Linked DNA regions of Macaca fascicularis. The protein of the gene in region 3 binds, or shares a complex with, the protein of the main gene of each other region. Links are inferred from orthologs where the notes say so. Each region holds a gene or a part of one and is shown on either strand. Other genes may lie near its edges.

What was found.
Region 1: the proteins of MYO6 (region 3) and TOM1 are in contact, whole or in part, in a crystal structure (PDB 6J56), measured with the Homo sapiens proteins. The link is inferred for Macaca fascicularis from reciprocal best matches to the Homo sapiens genes MYO6 and TOM1. Residues at the interface, in NP_001355794.1 of Homo sapiens: Ile1182, Phe1184, Trp1202, Gln1214, Glu1216, His1218, Asp1220, Lys1221, Pro1222, Ile1224, Leu1226, Glu1234, Met1235, Cys1236, Leu1238, Glu1242, Thr1243, Gly1244, Leu1245, Arg1247; in NP_005479.1 of Homo sapiens: Ser440, Glu441, Phe443, Phe446, Leu447, Arg450, Ala451, Ala453, Ala454, Asp455, Leu457, Pro458, Asn459, Leu460, Ser461.
Region 2: the proteins of MYO6 (region 3) and GIPC2 are in contact, whole or in part, in a crystal structure (PDB 5V6H), measured with the Mus musculus proteins. The link is inferred for Macaca fascicularis from reciprocal best matches to the Homo sapiens genes MYO6 and GIPC2. Residues at the interface, in NP_001034635.2 of Mus musculus: Ser1055, Lys1056, Trp1057, Lys1058, Tyr1059, Arg1084, Arg1085, Leu1086, Val1088, Tyr1089, Trp1092, Lys1093, Asn1096; in NP_058563.1 of Mus musculus: Glu255, Leu256, Tyr257, Met258, Gly259, Ile260, Asp262, Asp264, Leu265, Thr268, Thr289, Leu290, Asp292, Phe293, Ala294, Pro296.
Region 4: the proteins of MYO6 (region 3) and CLTA are in contact, whole or in part, in an NMR structure (PDB 6E5N), measured with the Homo sapiens proteins. The link is inferred for Macaca fascicularis from reciprocal best matches to the Homo sapiens genes MYO6 and CLTA. Residues at the interface, in NP_001355794.1 of Homo sapiens: Met1053, Thr1054, Pro1055, Met1058, Ala1059, Met1062, Ser1087, Trp1089, Lys1090, Tyr1091, Glu1113, Arg1117, Leu1118, Val1120, Tyr1121, Trp1124, Asn1128; in NP_009027.1 of Homo sapiens: Glu47, Asn48, Glu50, Ala51, Phe52, Ile54, Leu55, Asp56, Gly57, Gly58, Ala59, Pro60, Gly61.

Annotation. Positions count from the first base shown.
Region 1 is NC_088384.1:16,339,931-16,344,164, reverse strand, and holds part of TOM1 (target of Myb1 membrane trafficking protein), read left to right. Parts: exon of another isoform or gene 1-1,171; intron 1,172-1,478; exon of another isoform or gene 1,479-1,509; intron 1,510-2,331; coding exon 2,332-2,448; intron 2,449-4,234.
Region 2 is NC_088375.1:156,577,347-156,582,145, forward strand, and holds the start of GIPC2 (PDZ domain-containing protein GIPC2), read right to left. Parts: upstream 3,086-4,799; 5' UTR 3,020-3,085; coding exon 2,780-3,019; exon of another isoform or gene 2,612-2,779; intron 2,382-2,611; exon of another isoform or gene 2,273-2,381; intron 1-2,272.
Region 3 is NC_088378.1:99,369,722-99,374,713, reverse strand, and holds the start of MYO6 (unconventional myosin-VI), read left to right. Parts: upstream 1-1,789; 5' UTR 1,790-1,974; intron 1,975-4,992. UniProt on the Homo sapiens protein: Myosins are actin-based motor molecules with ATPase activity. Unconventional myosins serve in intracellular movements. Myosin 6 is a reverse-direction motor protein that moves towards the minus-end of actin filaments.
Region 4 is NC_088389.1:63,161,793-63,166,786, forward strand, and holds the start of CLTA (clathrin light chain A), read right to left. Parts: upstream 3,017-4,994; 5' UTR 2,923-3,016; coding exon 2,706-2,922; intron 1-2,705. UniProt on the Homo sapiens protein: Clathrin is the major protein of the polyhedral coat of coated pits and vesicles.

The DNA.
Region 1 (4,234 bases), on a different chromosome or scaffold from region 3:
GTGGGGGCAGAGTCCTGCACACTGTGGGAGCACCCACATTAGAGGTGTTGTACACGCATCAGACCCATCACATCAGTGCAGCTTAAAGGCGGAGCTACTGCGTGTGCTGGTGAAGAAGACACGGATGCATGATGGAGAAAAAAGTGAAGCTTAACTTTCCCAATAAGCGTCCTCAGGACCCGCTTTATGTATCATTTGAACTCATTCTAACCCTAACCTATTTGAAGAGAAACTTCCGTGACTTGTTTTCTCTTAGCAAGTTGTGAAATCACCCCCCAGAGTTACAAATATTACTAGAAAATGTTGCTAACTGGACAAAATTATTAACACATTGCCTGTTTACCCCAAGGATACTCTTGTCTCTAATCCTAATGTAACATCATATACATTTCTGTTACATTAGGATTGGAGACGAGTTCTGTTTAGAAATAACTCCAAGAACAGTTTTTATGTTTTATTTTCATGTTAAAAATAGTCAGGTTTACTTCAGCCTCAAAGAGCGTGTTTATGTAAAATTAAATGAGTGCTGACAGCGAGCTGCACTTTTTTTTTCTGAATGGGTTAAAAGTGTGTAAAAAATTGTAAAAGCACCTTATGATCCAAAAAATTGTCTAACTCAGTTACGATTTTAACCAGTTGCCTGTAGTCTAGCATCTATGTGGATTAAGATGCTAATTACTCCTAATTCAAGAAGGTGCTTGCTAAACAAAACTAATCTTTGTTTAATTCAAGAGTCCCCTTTTGTCTCTTGGGACATGTGAAGACATCAGGTGTGCAGTGATGTTACTCCCAGGCTCCTTTGTAATTAAGTCTGATTTGGATGCAGGGGGTTTGTGATCAGTAGTTTTTCCACTCACTCATACCAAGAGTATTCATTAAGTCAGCCAAATAGATCAAACATTTTGCAGGTTTTGGAAGGTGTCAATGAACCATAGTGGATATACTACTTGTCTCTACATTCTATTTCTTCGTCTGTAAAAGCAGGGGTATTGATATCTACCTATGGCAAAAAATTAAGTTAGCAATATATGTTCAATGCTTGGCACTTATTAGGTAGTCTATAAATGGTAGCTACTATCACAATCATGAATGTATATAGTGACACTCTGAAATCAACTATAACTCAGCCACATGATTTACAATGTACCAGCATTTCTCAAAACGTAAAAAGGTGGCCGGGCGCGGTGGCTCAAGCCTGTAATCCCAGCACTTTGGGAGGCCGAGACGGGCGGATCACTAGGTCAGGAGATCGAGACCATCCTGGCTAACACGGTGAAACCCCGTCTCTTCTAAAAAATACAAAAAACTAGCCGGGCGAGGTGGCGGGCGCCTGTAGTCCCAGCTACTCAGGAGGCTGAGACAGGAGAATGGCCCGAACCCGGGAGGCGGAGCTTGCAGTGAGCTGAGATCCGGCCACTGCACTCCAGCCTGGGCGACAGAGCGAGACTCCGTCTCAAAAAAAAAAAAAACGTAAAAAGGTTCTTCAGTCAAATAAATCTTGGAAGCTTTCGTATCGATCTTTTCCTGGGCATCCCCAGTATGCATGAGGGTATTAAACACGCTACAAGGTCCCACAGCATAAGATCCTTATACCAATGGCCTTCCCCAACCTAACCTCTTTGAGGAGACTACAGCTTTATTGAAAATGTTTCCCCAAGCCCAATTCCTTGGAACCCTTTGACCATTGAAAACCTGCCCACATCCCTTGGAACAAGTGCTAAATCTGAGTTTCATATTCAAGGTGAGGGACACGGCAAGGACTATCCTTAGAAGAGCCTGAGACACCAAAACAGACAGAAACAAGACAAAATCCCAGTCCTTTAGGAGGAGAAAGAGGGCAGAAGCCTCCTAAGAGATAGAGAGAGGGCGGAATCCCAGTCCTCCGAGGAGGAGAGAGGGCAGAATCCCAGTCCTCTAAGGGGAGAGAGAGAGAGGGCCTGCAGCCTCCCTCCTCCTCCTGTGGGGAGCCACCCTCCAGGGCCTCGTTAGCTCCCGTGTTAGACCCAGGAGATGCTGGAGCCTTCCAGCCACACTTGGTGGCTCATTTCCCCTCAGTTCATTTCCTTTCGGCTTCTCCCTGCACCAGGCTCCCCGGTGTAGAGATGGTCACGGTTGGTAGTGCCTCTGTGAGGGGTCTGTAGGAGGGGTGGGGCAGGTCTCTAGTGCAGGGCTGTCACTGTGGGAGCCAGGAGGGAGGCTGCCTAGAGAGTCTGCTAGGAGGTGGGCTCCCTGGTGCTGCACCCAGGATTGGTGGTACTGGGTTCTGTCCCTGTGAGTGACATGGGCTCCAAACCCCTGGCTTCTCTCATCACGACCAACCGTGTGTTTCAGATTGGGAAGCTGCGCAGTGAGCTGGAGATGGTGAGTGGGAACGTGAGGGTGATGTCGGAGATGCTGACGGAGCTGGTCCCCACCCAGGTCGAGCCTGCAGACCTGGAGCTGCTGCAGGTGAGCAGATGGCACCACCCCGTGGGGCTCAGATGACTCCTGCCCAGTTGCCCACGTGCGTTCTTTCCCAGTCCTCATGACGGTCTTCATGGCTTACTCCATACTCCTTGGTCACAGTTGGGGCCATGTTACCACCAGGGACTTTGGACGCCATCAGGTTGGAATCAGACCGCAGCTCTACCACTTTCTGGTTTGAACAAAGTAGCCCCCCCTTGCCTCAGTTTCCTCATCTGTAAGGTTGCTCTAACAATAGCCTTTATGGCACAAGTTTGATGTGAGAGTTAAATAAGGCATTGCATGGAAAACACCCAGGCTTGTCCCTGGCATCCAGTACGGGGTCCTGAGAAAAAGCTGGAAGGTGAGATTTCCACCATTCACAATCCGAGACTCAGCAGGCAGGTGTGAGAGGCTGGTGCCAGCCTTGAGGTGCGCCAGCCACTGGTCTTGGGGAGCCGAGGCAGGTGGAGCTAATGGTGCCTGCTCCCGTGTGTCACGTGGTATTGCCATGGCCCCAGCCCAGATTGGGGGTCACTGGAGCGGAAGGGGCACTGAATTTGGCAAAAAGCACCCTCCGCGTGGAGGTCGGTCATAGAGGCACCAAGAAAGCTAGGAATCCCCAAGGCCCAGGAGTCACCAGAATTCATGAGGGGACGGAGTGCTTTGTGTAACTGTGTGAGTTCCTGCTGCTTGTCCACCAGGCCTCAGACTCCTTGAGGGCAGCGCTGTGTCTTCCTCGCCACCGTGTCTGTGTGCCTGACCGAGCCGACTGTGCAGGGGTCCTCACTTGGTGGTGCAGGGTGGGGAGAAAAGGAGCAGCCTCAGAGTCGAATGAATACGCAAACTTGAAACCCAGTAAGGGCTCCGGAAGAGAGAAGACTGCGCAGGCAGCTTCGTACGCCCCAAGCCAAGGCCGTGAGGTGTGAGCAGTTTGGGGACTCAGAAGGCTGAGCAAGGTGGACGCAGAGACAGCTCCCATGCATTGGGCACTTCCCCTGCCCCGAGCTGTATGTGGACAGTTGGTTCACATCACTCACGTAATCCTCACCACCCCCATTTTCCAGGTCAGGAAACAGGCATAGGGAGATCAGATAACACGTCAAGGGTTATATGGCTGGTAAATAGCAGAGCTGCGATTTGAACCTGGCTCCAAGTGCTGCTCTTCTGCTCTTGAGAGGAGCCAGCAGGGAAGCAGAAGCAGAGCCACCCTGTGCTTAGTCATGAGAGCAGGAGGGGAGCCCACAGGATGTTGAAAGGACCCGCCCTGCCCCCGTGCTAAGGGCAATGAGGAAATCCCAGAGGCCTGACCTTGGAGGGGGCGGGGGACAGGGTCCACATGACAGCCAAAATAAACACTGGGCAGTGCCTAGCCTCAGCGTTGCCTCCAGGAGAAAGGCATGCTGGCGTGAGGCCGCAGTCGGCAATGCCAGGCAGCTCCCTGGACCTCAGGACCCAAGCACCTGCCCTGACCCAGGCACCTTCACCTGGTGACAGGTACCTGAAGAAACAATTGAGCAATCTTAAAAATGAAAACCCGTATGTCTATGGTTTTTTATTTTTTATTTTTTATTTTTTTTTGAGACGAAGTCTCACTCTGTCACCCAGGCTGGAGTGCAGTGGGTGCGATCTTGGCTCACTGCAGCCTCTGCCTCTTGGTCAAGCTATTCTCCTGCCTCAGCCTCCCAAGCAGCTGGGATACAGGCATACGTGACCACACCTGGCTGATTTTTGTATTATTAGTAGGCACAGGGTTTCACCTTGTTGGCCAGGCTGGTCTTGAACGCCTGAC
Region 2 (4,799 bases), on a different chromosome or scaffold from region 3:
GGTAATTGCTTGCTGAGTAAATGGGCTACAAAAATGGAATCTCCTTGGTGTGCATTTCATTTTAATAAGTTACTTCTGTTTCAAAGTGAACCACTGAAATATTATGCATACTATCCTATGATGACCAATACTTTATCCTGCATATGATTAACTTTTTTTATACAGATGGAAAACTTGCATTAATGTTGGTTACATGCATAAACATGATAAAATACATATATACTGGAGTTATAAAATGTTATAAACTTTGAGGTAACACGTGAAAACACCTCGTGTACATTATCTTGGAAACTGACCTTGCAAGTCAGTACACTGAAAATGTTGAAAGTGGCTACCAAACTATTGCTGAGACTCTGGAAAACTTGGGAAACAATATATCTTCATGGGAGGGAAAAAAAAAAAAGATGGGCACAATGGCTCCATGTCTGTGCTATTCAAAAGACTGAGGTAGGAGGATCCCTTGAGAGTAGGAGTTCAAACCACCCTGAGCAACGTAGAAAAACCACATCTCTAAAAAAAAGGTTTTTAATTAGGCAGATGTGGTGGCACATGCCTGTAGTCCCAGCTACTTGGGAGGTTGAAGCAGGAGGATTGCCTGAGCCTAGGAGTTAGAAGCTGCAGTGAGCTACAATCACACCACTGTACTCCAGCCTGGGCAACAGAGTGAGACCCCATCTCATTAAAAAAAAAAAAGAAAGAAAAACAGAAAACAAAAAAAAGAATACACTGAGTTCAAATCCAGGCTCTGCCACTTGCTACGTGTAATTCTGAAAAAATTCTGAACCTCAAAGTCTGTTTCCTCTCTGTAAAGTGGAGATATTAATAATAATACTTACTTCTTAGGGATTAAGTAGATTGAATAAAATCATGTACCCTGAGCTCAGAATAATGTCATATATAATGATGAGGAGAAGTGTTAATGCAAAATACAGATACTCCTCTACTTACCAAGGTGTTATGTCCCAATAAATCCATTGTGAGTCAAAAATACCATAAGGTGAAAATGCATTTAATACCCCAATAAACCCAGAAAGTGGAAAAATCTTAAGTCCAGGAAGTTACATCCCAATAAATCCATGGCAAAGTCAAAAATCTTAAGTCTAACTATCATAAACCCAGGACCATCTGTAACTAAAACTGAAGTCCCTGGTTACAGGAAAGACATTTAAAGCTGTCAGTTAAGTATACTAACAAGCTCACTAGCTTAGGAATCAGAAGATCCAAGTTTAAATTACAGCCCAGTTTTTTTTCTTGCTAGGTATGTGACCTTGGCTAAGGGCCAATCACTTTGCACTTCAGCCCTTCATTTAACTGTTAGGTATTAATAATTTTAGTTACCATGTATTAAGCCCTGATAAACTATGCAATCTGATACGTTTACATGCAGACTCCACTCTTCACAACACTCTTCAAGACAAGTATTCTAATCTCTATTTTATAGATGGCTAAAACTGAGAGAAGTTAAACTCATTCAAGTCCACACAGCTCATAAATGGTAGAACCTGGGTCCATGTCCAAGTTATCGCGTTTAACCTGCCACCTGCCTCCCCTAGAGATCAAAGGAAAGTGTCCTGTGAAAGTGTTTTTTGAAAAAAAAAAAAAATCCTACATAAATGTAAAGTATTATTATTAGTAACCTATATCAATACAAATAATTCACAGATGGGTTTACGATTTGCCCCTTAGTACCTGGGAACTTCGAAAGAACAAAGGGTTACACTTTAAGGTCTTTCGTCTCCTCTTGGAATTTTGCCTTGACCTCGATTTCCCTTGAACAGACCTGATAAACAACTAATTAAAGAACTCCAGGTGCCGCTGTATGCCACTTAAAGACAGCTCTCTGCACTACTGCGAGTCCAGGGCAACAAAATTATGTGCTTTTCCTAGAAATGTGGACAAAATATTTTGTTGAGCTAACTTCTCACACCTACCTTTGCAGTTCACTTGGGTTAGCACAAATAAAGTGATCACATAAACGTTCGCATAAACTAGTGCTTTCGGTCATGCCTGTGTCAAACTTAGTTCCAGGCCCGCATGCAATCTAATTAAAGCAAATTTCAGTCCCGTTTTAAGGATATGATGTAAAAGAGCTGATTTTCCTCATGAAAATTTTGTTAACTAGTCCCATGGGATTAAGTATGAATCTCTAGGTTATCCACTCTTGGAATAACAGCCCAGCTTTTTAAACTTCTTGGAAATACCACCCAAGGATTTCTGGTGTTGATGTTAGAAATGACAGATTGGGGGAAAGTGGGCCTCCGTTTCGTATTACCTGGAAGGCTCTTCAATTTTTCCCCCCATTTAATCTGGGTATCACCTGGAAGGCACTTCAATTTTTTTTTTCCGTTAATCTGGGGAGATGACCTGCGTGACTCTCACGCCTGCGGAGGAAACAGGAGAGTAACGTCCAGATGAGGTGGAGGGTATTAACCTGCCCCGCCAGATCGCTAGTCTGGGAAGGTACTCACACCTTGAACGGCCGCCGGAATCCGGGACATCTGGAGCAAACACATTTACAAGCGGAAGAAAGGTTGCCTCCCCCAACCCGCTTCCCAAAGGCCAGATCTCGGAGCAAGGGGGAAGGTGACTTCCTCCGGTCGTGCCAACTTACCTTTTCCCTTCCCGGGAAGGCCCACTCACTTCCCCTCGGGACGCCCCCGGCGGACTCAACACGGCATGGATTTCGCGCTCCGGGAAGCGCCGCTCAACCCTCCTAGGCCCACCAAAGTCCGCGCGGCGCGGCGGAGAGGCGGGAGAGCGTGAGCACCTGACGCCTTACCTCCGACGGCGAAATCTCAAACGCGCCCGCGATCTGGGCGTAGAGCTCCTGGATGCTGGAGAAGCCCTCCACTCGGCCCGTGGCGCTCCCGTGCGCCAGCTGCGCGTGGAAGACCAGCCTGCGTGCGGGAGCCCGGGACGCTGAGGGGCTCCCGCCGCCCGCGCCCGTCGGCTCGCCCTTCACCAGCCCGGCGGTCTCCTTGGACTTGGCCTTCTTCTTCCCCCGTAGCCTCAGGGGCATCTTGCAGGGCCGAGGGCGCGGGCCCACCTGCACTGCCGGCCGCCGCCTCCTCCCCGCCGGCGCCTCGGACTTTGCGCCCCGGGCCCCGCGCAGGTAAAAGCAGCCTCTGGGCCAATGGCAGCCGCGCTTCCGCCTGGCTGCGTCGGGTCGGGGCCTCGACCTCCACCCCTGGACCGGAGCAGCCGCCCGCCCGTCCGCCCGCCCAGCCTCCTCCGGGATGGATCTGGAGAGAAAGAAAGTTACGCGTAGTCCCTCATCCGATCACCAGGTTTATCCCCACTCCTTGTAAAAAATGGCTCGATTTCCGTGAAGGCCTGAGGATGCCGACGCTGCGGAACAGTACGCCTTAGAAGGCAAACACGCTGGCCCTTAGGTGCTTTTCATAAATCTGTAGTAGGCACCCAGGCACGATCTGGCCATAGGCCTTCGAGTCCGTACGTCTGGGCTTTTGGGGATAGGGATTTAAGTAGAAGTCAACCTTCGTCTGCATTTTCTGCGTCTTACACTCTGCAGGGCAGAATTGGAAGAGAAAGTCACATAACCTTGAGCTTGGTGCTACGTCGAATTCATAAACACCCTCAGCCGGGTCCTCGGCCCCTCTGAGTTTTCCTTTTGCCTATTTCCTGGGCCGCTTCCTCTCCCAACATTCAGCACGCCTCCAAAGTCATTTGCCCCAGCTCTGCCCTTCTTAGTCTCTACAGAGGACCTTACCTCATATAGTACAAAGAAAATTGAAGCCATTCGGTGTGAAGTATGAGTTCCCTCAATTCCCCACCCCGCGTTTATTGCATTGTTTTCAAGTCCAGTCCCCTCCAACTACGTTTTTTACAACAAAGCAGAACAGTCTTGAATTATTAGCTACGAAATTTCCTCACTTCTTCTCTGCTCTTAGACGCACTGTGATCAGACTTTGCCCCCACACTCTACTGAAATTTCACTTACTATGCAATTTCAGTGGAGTGAAATCACTATCATATCTTAATTACCAAACACAAGTAATTATTTTAGGTCTTTATCTTACTTGATCTGCGTTGCCCATTTTATTCTTCTTAAATTTTGTCCTATTTTAGCTTACTTACCTCTCCTCTCCCCATCCTCCACCCTGCTCCTTGCTAACTGCTACTCTCCAGGAATTGTATTCACCGACAGTTTTTCCTCCACTATCTTCCCTTCTTACTTAGCTTTGCATGTTCTTCCTGTATGACCACATCAACATTCTCAGTTTCACAGAGGTTGCTGTCTACCAAATATCTCCACCTCCAGCTTATTCTACCAGAAAGGGAATGTACTGTAGGAAACTCAAATTGAGACTAAACAAAACTGACCTCATCATTTCTCCTGAATGTATCTTTTCTTTTCTTTTCTTTTCTTTCTGATAATAGGATCACCAAGCACTCCCAGACCAGACATTGTGGAGTCGTTGTATCAGGATTTTTCCTTTTCCCTCACCTCTCACATCAATTCAGTCCAGAAAATCCGTGTTTCTCAACTTAAGGTTAGCAGATGTACTGGGGGAGGAGAGTCTTAAGAATTCCTTAGGCCGGGCGCGGTGGCTCACGCCTGTAATCTCAGCACTTTGGGAGGCCGAGACGGGCGGATCACGAGGTCAGGAGATCGAGACCATCCTGGCTAACACGGTGAAACCCCGTCTCTACTAAAAAATACAAAAAACTAGCCGGGCGAGGTGGCGGGCGCCTATAGTCCCAGCTACTCGGGAGGCTGAGGCAGGAGAATGGCGTGAACCCGGGAGGCGGAGCTTGCAGTGAGCTGAGATCCGGCC
Region 3 (4,992 bases):
GACTTTACATCAAGAGTCAGAGAGTGCCATTACATAAACTTAAATAGTGGAGTACATAAAAGACAAACTGATGACGTTGTAAAGACTGGATTAGAAGGGGATAAAACTGCGGCCTGGGAAACTGGTTAGGTAACTAAGGCAATATGCAATACTTGAAATGATAGTGGCCTGAAACAAGATAATGGTGGTGGCTATAAAGAGGAATTTGATACATTAGAGAGATATTATAGAGCCAGAAGCAAAGGCACTCAGTAATGGATTGGAAGTGTGGGGCAAAGGAGAGAAAAAAAATCACGGAAGTCATTAGCTACAAAAAATCTTTAAAATGTATTGATTTCTCTAGGAGTGGTGGCTCACACTTGTAATCCCAGCACTTTGGGAGGCCAAGGTGGGAGAATCACTTGAGGCCAAGGTTCAAGATCAGCCTAGGCAACATAGCAAGCCCGTTTACCAACAACAACACAAAAAATTTAAGAAAATAAAAAAAAAGTATTGACTTCTATTGGTTTGCCAAATGAAGTTTTAGTATTAAATCCAAAATTGAGTCAGAACAGCGAACTGAGGCAGCCATCTTCATCTTCTCCCTCTTTTTTTCAGTTTGTTTTGAAATTTAGTTTTATATACTTAAGACTTACCTTCTGGCAATTTGGAATTAAATTTCTGAGATTGCTGTAAATTATTTCCGTTCTTTGTTTCTCTTCCTCTTTCTTACTTCCCTATTTTATTTTAAATATTTTATTGTTTTAGTTGAATGCTAAAACATCTTATCAGAACTTAGTTTTTAAATTTCTCCACCCAGAGAGCCGCGGAGCCTTTAAGTATCAGAAATTTGTCTCCTTGTCAGAATCTTCTAGATTTCCAGACGTTTCCAAGCCGCTACATATAAATGTTGGAGAAAAACGTGTAATTCTCATGTGTAAGTAGGCTCTTTTTTCAGCGGATACATTTAGCATTATAGTCAATTGTCATTTCCTTGCCTTAAAAGAAGCTGTTTTCATCGTAAAGGTGTTTTTTCACCACATAATTCAAATTTGCATAGGTACTTCATATTTTAAAAGGTGACTAACAGATATGTCACTTAAAAAAACAGTAACATTTAAACGACTGAGAAGGTAGGGCTCTAAAAAGTGAATGCGGTGGCGAGGGTGGGAGGGGGAAGAGGCAAACAGGTGCGAAATTCCCATCCCAAACTCCCTCCTACAAAGACCGAATGGCAACTTAGTTGTGCAGGAAGGTTCCTCCTTAGGAAGGGCAGACGGCCCGATCCGGAGCCGAGTGAACAGTGGTTCTTGCCGCAACCGCCACGCAGCCTCGCTGCCGCCCAAGCGCGGACACCTGGTTCCTGGGTCCCCCTGGTTCCTAGGTCCCCCGCGCGGAGCTCCGGACTCCTCGCCCCCTCTCCGAACAACTTTCTCCCTGCTTGAACTGATTCTCGCTGTTGGCAGACTGCACAGTCACAGCATCCAGCCGGAGAGGACCTGCTTCGTCGGGTCTGGAAACAACTACCGCGGCAAAGGAGGCCGTTTCGCCGTGGGAAGAACAACAACTCCAGGCTTGTCCCACGGCAGCCCCTCCCTGCGCCGCAAGGCGCCTTCCCCCGCCCCGGAGGCTCTGCGCCGCGGGCGGGGCGACCCCGGGGGTCGCGCGCCCTCTGCCGGAGCGCGCCCCCTCCCAGAGCGCGCGCCCGGCGGCCTGCCGCGGCCCCGGCGCCCCCGCCCCCTCGGGCGCTCCGTAGCCGTGACGTGCACGCCGCAGTGCCGGGGACTCGGCGGGGCGCCGGCCGGCGGGCGGAGACCGACTCGGGATCTGTCCGAGCAGGAAGCCAGCCGCAGCCCGGCTGCTGTCGCCGCCCCGTCCTGGTTCCCGTCCGCGTCGTCGCCCTCTTCACTGGCCCTCATCACTTCTCACTGCGCCCTCCAGCTTCACCCGCACAGGTAGCCCTGCCGCCGCGCACCTGCCTTTGCGCCTGCACCGGTGAGTGTCCCGGAGCCCCCGCTGCAGTGCGTCGGCGCCGGGGTCTCGCGGTCCCCGGCCCGGCCTTGCTCCCGGGCCTCCTGTAGCAGCTCCGGAGCCGACGCTTCTGTTCACTGCCCGAGGACGCGGGTGGGAGAAGCAGGTGATGGGTGGGCCCTGGGCAGCGGTGGGGCCGAGGTGGTTCTCGTTTCCACCGAGAGACAGTTTCCTTTCATGGGTTCTCATCACCAAGGTCCCTTTGTGTTTCTTCCCTGGCTCCCAGGTAGAAGCAGAGCACTCAGGTGCCTAACTCGGACTTGGACACTCCGTGATAGTTTTATTTTCTCTTTTGTAAACACGCTTAAAATTCAGCGCAGGGAGAGCGTAATTTGTTCTGAGATGTGAAGATCAAAGGATACCATTAATAGTCTAATCATGTAGGAGACCAGATTGAGACTTTCTAAAGCCTTATTCTTAGTCTCTAGGTAGTCCAGTACCTTGAATATGTCAATTTACGGATATGCTACTGAACAAGAACTTTTTTTGTTAATTTCCAAAAACTCCCGAAAACATTAAAATGCGCAAACTCTGGGATTTTAAGTAGAACATAATTTGATAGGGTTATTACTAGAACATCCATGTTTAAAAGTATTTCCGCACAGTTTAAAAAATTCATTACATCTTTTTTTTTTTTTTTTTTTTGAGACGGAGCCTCACTCTGGCGCCTAGGCTGGAGTGCAGTGGCGCGATCTCTGCTCACTGCAACCTCCACCTCACGGGTTCAAGCAGTTCTCTGCCACGGCCTCCCGAGTAACTGGGATTACAAGCGCCCACCACCACGCCCGGCTAATTTTTTTTGTATTTTTAGTAGAGACGAGGTTTCACCATCTTGGCCAGGCAGGTCTTGAAATCCTGACCTCATGATCCACCCGCCTCGGCCTCCCAAAGTGTTGGGATTACAGGCGTGAGCCACTGCGCCTGGCCAAAAATTCATTACATCTTATCTGGCATAAAGTGATGTGGTGGAGGGATGCTTAAATCCTGATTTACAAGTATTAGTGAGAAATGAGGAGTACTGCCCTAACTTAATAGACTGTACGGGCTAAACAAGACTCTTTTTTTTTTTTTTAATGCTCTGGTGGTATAGAGGCAGTCTAAATAAAGTCAGAATTTGAGAGTTTTAAAAATTAACATTTTTTTTTTGAGGCAGAGTCTCGCTCTGTCGGCTCACTGCAACCTCCACCTCCCGAGTTCAAGCGATTGCCCTGCCTCAGCCTCCCAAGTGGCTGGGACTGCAGGCTCACGCCACTGCTCAGCTAATTCTTGTATTTTTAGTAGGGACGGGGTTTCACCATGTTGGCCAGACTGGTCTCGAACTCTTGACCTCAAGTGATCCACTTGCCTCGGCCTCCCAAAGTGCTGGGATTACAGGTGTGAACCCCCGCGCCTGGACTAAAAATTAACACGCTTAAGGTTTAGCTGAAATTTATCTTCACACCATAAAACGTGAATCTTGAACTTGGACTGGTAGTGGTCATGGTACAAAGGTTGGCGGCAAAACAGCATTTCTGTACAAATTAACTGAATTTCCTAGATGTCTTGAGTTGTGGTTTTCAAACTGGAGAATGTTTAGTGAAAAAATTACCTTTGTGCCTTTTGCCCTTAATTGTAGAAACCGCCGCAAATGTTACAAAGTGGGCTGTAGCCAGAGCTCGAAACCATGCCGCCGTTCAAAATAGCTCACCGACTTTTATATATACAGCTCATTTTGAGTATTTTACGTTACTTAGGAATTGCATCCACATTGGTAAACAGAAGTCATTTTAGTCTTATGTACATTTACCTACTACTTTTGTATTTTGTGTGTGTGACATACTGTTTATCATTCTCTCATCTTTGTAAGTTACAATTTTGTTTTCAGAAACCATTGTAAATGTCAGTAACAGAAGTATGAATGACATTTAAGGAAAGATCATGATTAAAAACTGTATAAATATATAAAACTATGTATGGTGTACATGTATATTCTCGGTTAGTGCCCAGAAACATGAGCAAGAAAAATGTAATGAACAATTACAATATTTAACGTAAATTAATGCAATTAAATATTGTATTAAAAACAAAAGATCGTAAATCATAACCAGTAGGGATTATCTGAAATGGATTTTTTTCCCTGTTTATGTTTACATGGTCAAGTTTTAAAATAACAGTGGCCAGGAAATCTGAGAGAGGCTGAAGGCTCTGTTCTCATCCTGTTGTGACTTTGCCTGGAGTCTGTGGTGTATCATGTAGCCCATTGTTTAGACAACCCGGCTGTATCTGGGTTCCAAAATGTAGCTTTCTTTAGAAAATTTTAAAGACTTTGACCATGTGAGGCTTGAATGGATACAAACATCCAAACATTTGAAAAAAACTAACCCATTTTAACTTTCTGTTGATAGTTGAAGCTCCATTTTTGACATGTAAAATATCACTTTTAAGAAGAGTTTACTAACCTCTGTGTAGTTTTCATTTTTATATATTAAAATATCTTATCTAAAAATAAAATATTTAAAAGTGTTATAACTTAAATACATCTCAGAGTTTATTTATTCATTTTTTTTTTCCTCTCAGTTGGAGTCTTGCCCTGTCACCCAGGCTGTGCAGTGGCACGATTTCGGGTCTCTGTAACCTCAGTCTCCTGGGTTCAACTGATTCTCCTGCCTCAGCCTCCTGAGTAGCTGAGATTACAGGTGCCCATCACGACACCTGGCCAATTTTTGTATTATTAGTAGAGATGGGGTTTCACCATGTTGGCCAGGTTGGTCTCAAACTCCTGAGCTCAAGTGATTTTCCTGCCTTGGCCCCCCAAAGTGCTGGGATTGCGGTCTCATAGAGTTTAGTTATGATCCCCATAATGAGATATTTCATGGTAATTTGTGAACCGGCCCTTTACTACTATCAGATTGTTGCACATTTATTAGGCATCTACCATAATTGGACAGATCACAGATTGAGGGGCTTGATCTACAAAATAATTTTCTAGGCTAATGGTCTTGT
Region 4 (4,994 bases), on a different chromosome or scaffold from region 3:
TCTCTCCTGTTCTCTTCCCCCACTCAGCCCTCATGATTGAGAGCTTTTCAACAGCTCTACTTGTGCTGCCTCCTTCAAGACCACCTGTTCTTCCTCAATATCCCCCCCAGCTGGTTACCTCAATATCACTTCACCCAGCTGGTTACTTCCTGCCTCTAAACCTATGTCTCTTTTTCTGGATCTCTTAACAACCAAGGGAGTCATCCAAGGCTCAGCCCTAACCTCTCTGGTTTTTGCCTGTGCCCATCCTCCATAGGAGCATTCCGCAAGGCTGGGGGCCAGTTTAGTTTCCTCTCATCAATCTGTCATAGCTGACTGCCTATATACCTCTGTATAATACATCAGAAAGAGAGCTCCCGCCTAAAACCTCTCAATTTACTCAGTACACTTCAAAGCCTAAAGGCCTTGTAACTCCTTTCTCCCACTAACAGTAGCTGGAATTCACTGGATACTTACTATATAACTGTAAGCACTTTATAGACACTCTTTAATGTAATCCTAAAGATGCCACATAGCATTATAAATTATATTATGCAACTTTTACAAAGGAGAAAACTGAGGCCGGGCAGTGGTGGTAGTTATATACATTGAGATCACAAAGCTAAACTCACACTCAAGCAGTTTAGGATAGCATAGAATCTTAACCACTGGAGCATATCCTAAAAAAAAAGAAAGAAGGAAAAAGAAAACTAAGAGAGAAAAAGTGTCCAATCAGTTCTCTAATCCCCAAAGGAAATGCTGACCACTGCATATTACCAACCTCAATTACACTGTCAGGAATCTGGCTTTAAGTCACCAAATGCTTAGTTCACTAAGAAAGTCCTTCCTAGGAACTAAGTCAGCAACCATTTCTTTCCTTCCCTTTGCTGAAGGCTTGATGCACAAAGGACGCAAGTATCCAACTCTATTCTCTTCCTTTTACTTTCCCTAACTGCCTGTCACCAAGATCTGTCAGTTCTACACAGGACCCTTGGATCTGACATTTTTGCCCATTTCTCTGTCAAACGTGAGCATCTACTACATGTCAGACACACTGCTAAGTAGTGGAGATAAAACAGTAAGGGTAACACTGTCCTTGAATCAGGACAATCTTCCAACTATAGATCTTGGGTCCTGCTTCTCCCAAATCTGTTCTACCTGGGACAGCCACAACTGCCTGTCTCTTACCGCACCACACCCCGGCTAAAACAACTAAACACTACAACAGAATGTGGTAGACTTGGGGCTCATCTATTAACTCGTGCTTTTTAAAGCAAGTTATTTCTCTCTAGGATTGTTTCTCTTCTACTAAACGAGGAAGGTAAACTAAGGATCTAAGAAGTCAATTTTAAAATTCTCAGACAAATGTTAGAGACCACCCAATGAAAATATCTCCTAATCACTTAAGGCCAACTTCATCTCGCAATCACAGTCCAGTTCAGTCCAACCTACTTGCTATAAAGTTGCATATTTGGGCATATTACATGTTCCCACTAAGTTCTTATTAGGGGACTGATTTGCTTAGGAAGCAACATGGTGCAGTCAAAAACTCAGAGGCTGCAAACTAGCAGCACCCTCCCCAATCCATCCATCGAAAGGTTCTGCCTGGCTGGCATAGTAACTTGAGATTGCTGGGTCTGAATGCCTTTACACAGAGCACTACTATAGTGCACCAAAGTCCCAGTCTCCAACACTTCTACTGTCTCATGTCAAGTCAGCTTCTCTCGTATATGTTACCTACTTGGCCCCTTAAGGTTTGAAATCAGATTAGTGTAGACACTACTCCTATATGCCCCAATAGTGCGCTATTCTCCCTTAGTTGGAAATTTTTAAGTGAATGAAAAGCCATATTTCATTTCTTCTGGCTGAATTTCCTACTTCTCTGTATTATTAAATAGGTCTTTTCCACTCATGATCCTAAGGATCACACACAGGTAAGCATCCAAAAGTCAAACTGCCATCCTACCTGCCCCATTTTTACTTGAGTTTGGCTGAGAACATTCTCTATTCACCTCTTCATCCCTCCCCGATTGGTTTAGGCTAATCGTGGGTTCTACTTAGGCACTATTGCCTACCAAAGCTGTTCCCAGAGGGAGAGCTCCGTAAGTCCTAGCTGTAAATCAATCGCTCAACCATGGTAAACTCCTATCCCGCTTGGCAGTTCTTTCTCCAGACCTAGACCATCTTTCCTGAGTTCCCTACTCACTCCTTCCTCCTCGTAATCCAACACTCTGTACACCTTAAGTGCTTAAATGCTGAACTGCATTGCTACTTTTGTTTGTATCTCTCAAAAAACAGTATTTCCATTCTTATTTTTTTTCTGCCCTCCTTTTCTAATAACTGGAGTTCTGTGCTCGGCTCAGACTTGCTTATAAGTCTGGAAAAACTGCGCCAATGCGGTTGCTTCAGAGACCGGACTAAAGGCACAGCAAGTGCTTAATGAAAAGTTGCTGAATTGAACGGGCTTCTTCCGGCTCCGAAGCCTGCCACCCTATACTTGCTTTCTCGCTCCGCCCGCGCCCAGAAGCACTCAAACACGCTGAGAACCGAGCAGGCTTCTCGAGCCTAGGTTTCTGCATGACTGGGCCAGGGTCTCGTTTCCTCTTCGCACTGCTCCCTAACCTCCTAATTCAGCAAGGAGCACAAGTCACACAGAACCTCTCGGACCCACTGTGGGCCGAGTTTCCAGACAAGTCCTCTCGCCCCAAACGCGACCGCACTCTCACCCGGACCCCCCGGCGGCTCGCCGTGCGGCTGGGGCCCGGGGGCGCCGCCGTCCAGGATGGCGAAGGCCTCGTCGTTCTCGATGCCCGCAATTTCGCTCTCCTGCTGCGCCAAGAAGGCCGCGGCCGGGTCTTCTTCGCCGGCGCCGGCCACTCCGTTCCCCAGCGCGGGACCGCCAGGGGCGCCAGCAGGGGCGCCGAATGGATCCAGCTCAGCCATGGCGGGCAATTCAACGGCACGGACACCAACGGTGAGAGAAAAATCAACCGACCCACCGACACCACACCCGGCAGCCACCGCTGTGGTGCCGACTGGGAGAGGAGGACAAGCGGGAGGAGGGAGAAGGGGGAAGCGGAAGCCCTACCAGTGTATCCGGTCGGTCTAGGCGGTGTTGGAGAGCCAAAAAAGGAACAACCAATCAGAGGACAGCAATGGTTCAGGAGCTACCCAATCAGCAAGTGGAGGGGCGGGCCCCCGAAAACAACTCGTGACTGGGGTAGCGCGGGAGGTGAAGGAGGTGAGCTGCACGGGCCCCGGGAGGCGGAAGTGCTGCCTGACAGGGAACGTCCTACCGTCCCGGCCTGCTGGAGCTGGACTGACCAGGGACGGCCACCCCTGAGGGGACTCGAGTGCTGTACTGGGAGGTGAGGTGAAGTTAGGCGGCGACGATTGGCCGATTACTAAAGAGGCATGCCACTTAGGCTTTCTGAACCTCAGTTTCCTCATTCTTAAAATGGAAACAAGAACCCTGCTCTTGCCCCCCTCCCGGGATTGTTAGAAGATTGAATCCTTAAAAAACGAAGAAGAAGAAGAAGAAGAAGAAGAAGAAGATTGAATCCTTTTATGTGTTTGCCCTGGCTTTATAAATTTAAAATATTTAACTCTTTCAGCCAGCCTGGATTATTTGCTCCCTTAGAGCCCACAGATTTACTGTAATTGATCAAGTCCACTCCGATTTTTCTCGCCCATAAGTATTTTTATTTAAAAATGAATATATCTTATTTTCTTCAACGAAGCACTTTTGCAGCCATTACGTCTTTTCAGAGCTAGACAGAAGTTACTAAACCTGGAAAATTCCTTAAGGATCACTTGCTTCAAAGGGAAACACGGTGGCCCTGCTGTTCAAGGGGCGTCAGTCACCCAGGGAGTCAGTGACCAAGAGGAAACGCCTGTCTCCTGGGGACTTCCAAGATACTAGCTACAGTCTCTTGTGTTTACACCTTTCCTCGCTAAGGACAGCAGGAAAAAGAAAGTTCAGTGTTTCTTTTTAAATCGGGGAGATGTTAATAGCTACATGGCTGATTTTGTCTACACCGTAGAAATAACAGTGATTCCAGTTAATCATGCTCATGTTGAGGGGGTGCGCTGATGCAGGGGCCACCAGAAGACCTCCTTCACCACCACCACCACCCCCCTAAGAAATGAAAAGCCAAAAAAAGAAACTAAAAAACCAGCCAGAGGTCAACAAGAAGCTTCCAGAGATAGCAGGGGACAAGAAAGTTTTTTTTTTTTAAAAAAAACGCACATATCTTTGATGACAAAAAAAAGGGATAGTTATGAAGGAAAAATGAAGCAAATAAAAACTATTTAAAGCCTATGTTTACTTAAAGCATAATTTTAAAGTCATTTAAAGTACGAGCTATAGGAAAGTATTGAAGAAAAACATTTAAGAAAGTTAAAATGTTAGGGTCTGCAATTGATTCTGTTTCCCCTGTCTGTTGTTTTGTGCTCATCCCTAACATACATTTTCAACAGTGCATGAAGTATTTTCACATTAGCCTTGACATAGTCTCATGAGGAAGAGAGGGGCAGGGACCACTATGAGAGAGCCCAAGGAAGACAACTTTTAGTTGCTCACAACAGTAGTAGCTCTGGAACAGACAGCATTCTTTCTGGGGAAATGCATGACTTTGGGAGAAGCTCTCCTGTGATTCCCTTGCTAGAGGAGGCATTACATATTATGCAAAAGCAACAAACATGTATACACTCAGAATTGGAGGAATAGCTGATGTATTTACAGATGGTTTCACAGAGGTGGCTTGGAGCTCAGTTTTGAAATATGGGTAAAATTTAGAAGTCAATAATGAGGGTCTAATGTTAGTGTCATGTAAAAGTTCAGAGGTGGGAAAATGTTTGGCATGTTTTGGGGACAGTGAGTAAATTAGTTGGAGTCTGAAGGGCTCAGCATGATAAATAATTGAAGGTAAATCTGGGGACAGATTCCGGAGCCCTGAAAGCAGTCCATGTTAAGGAGTCTTAATGGCAATAAGGAACTGTGGAAGTTTTCAGAT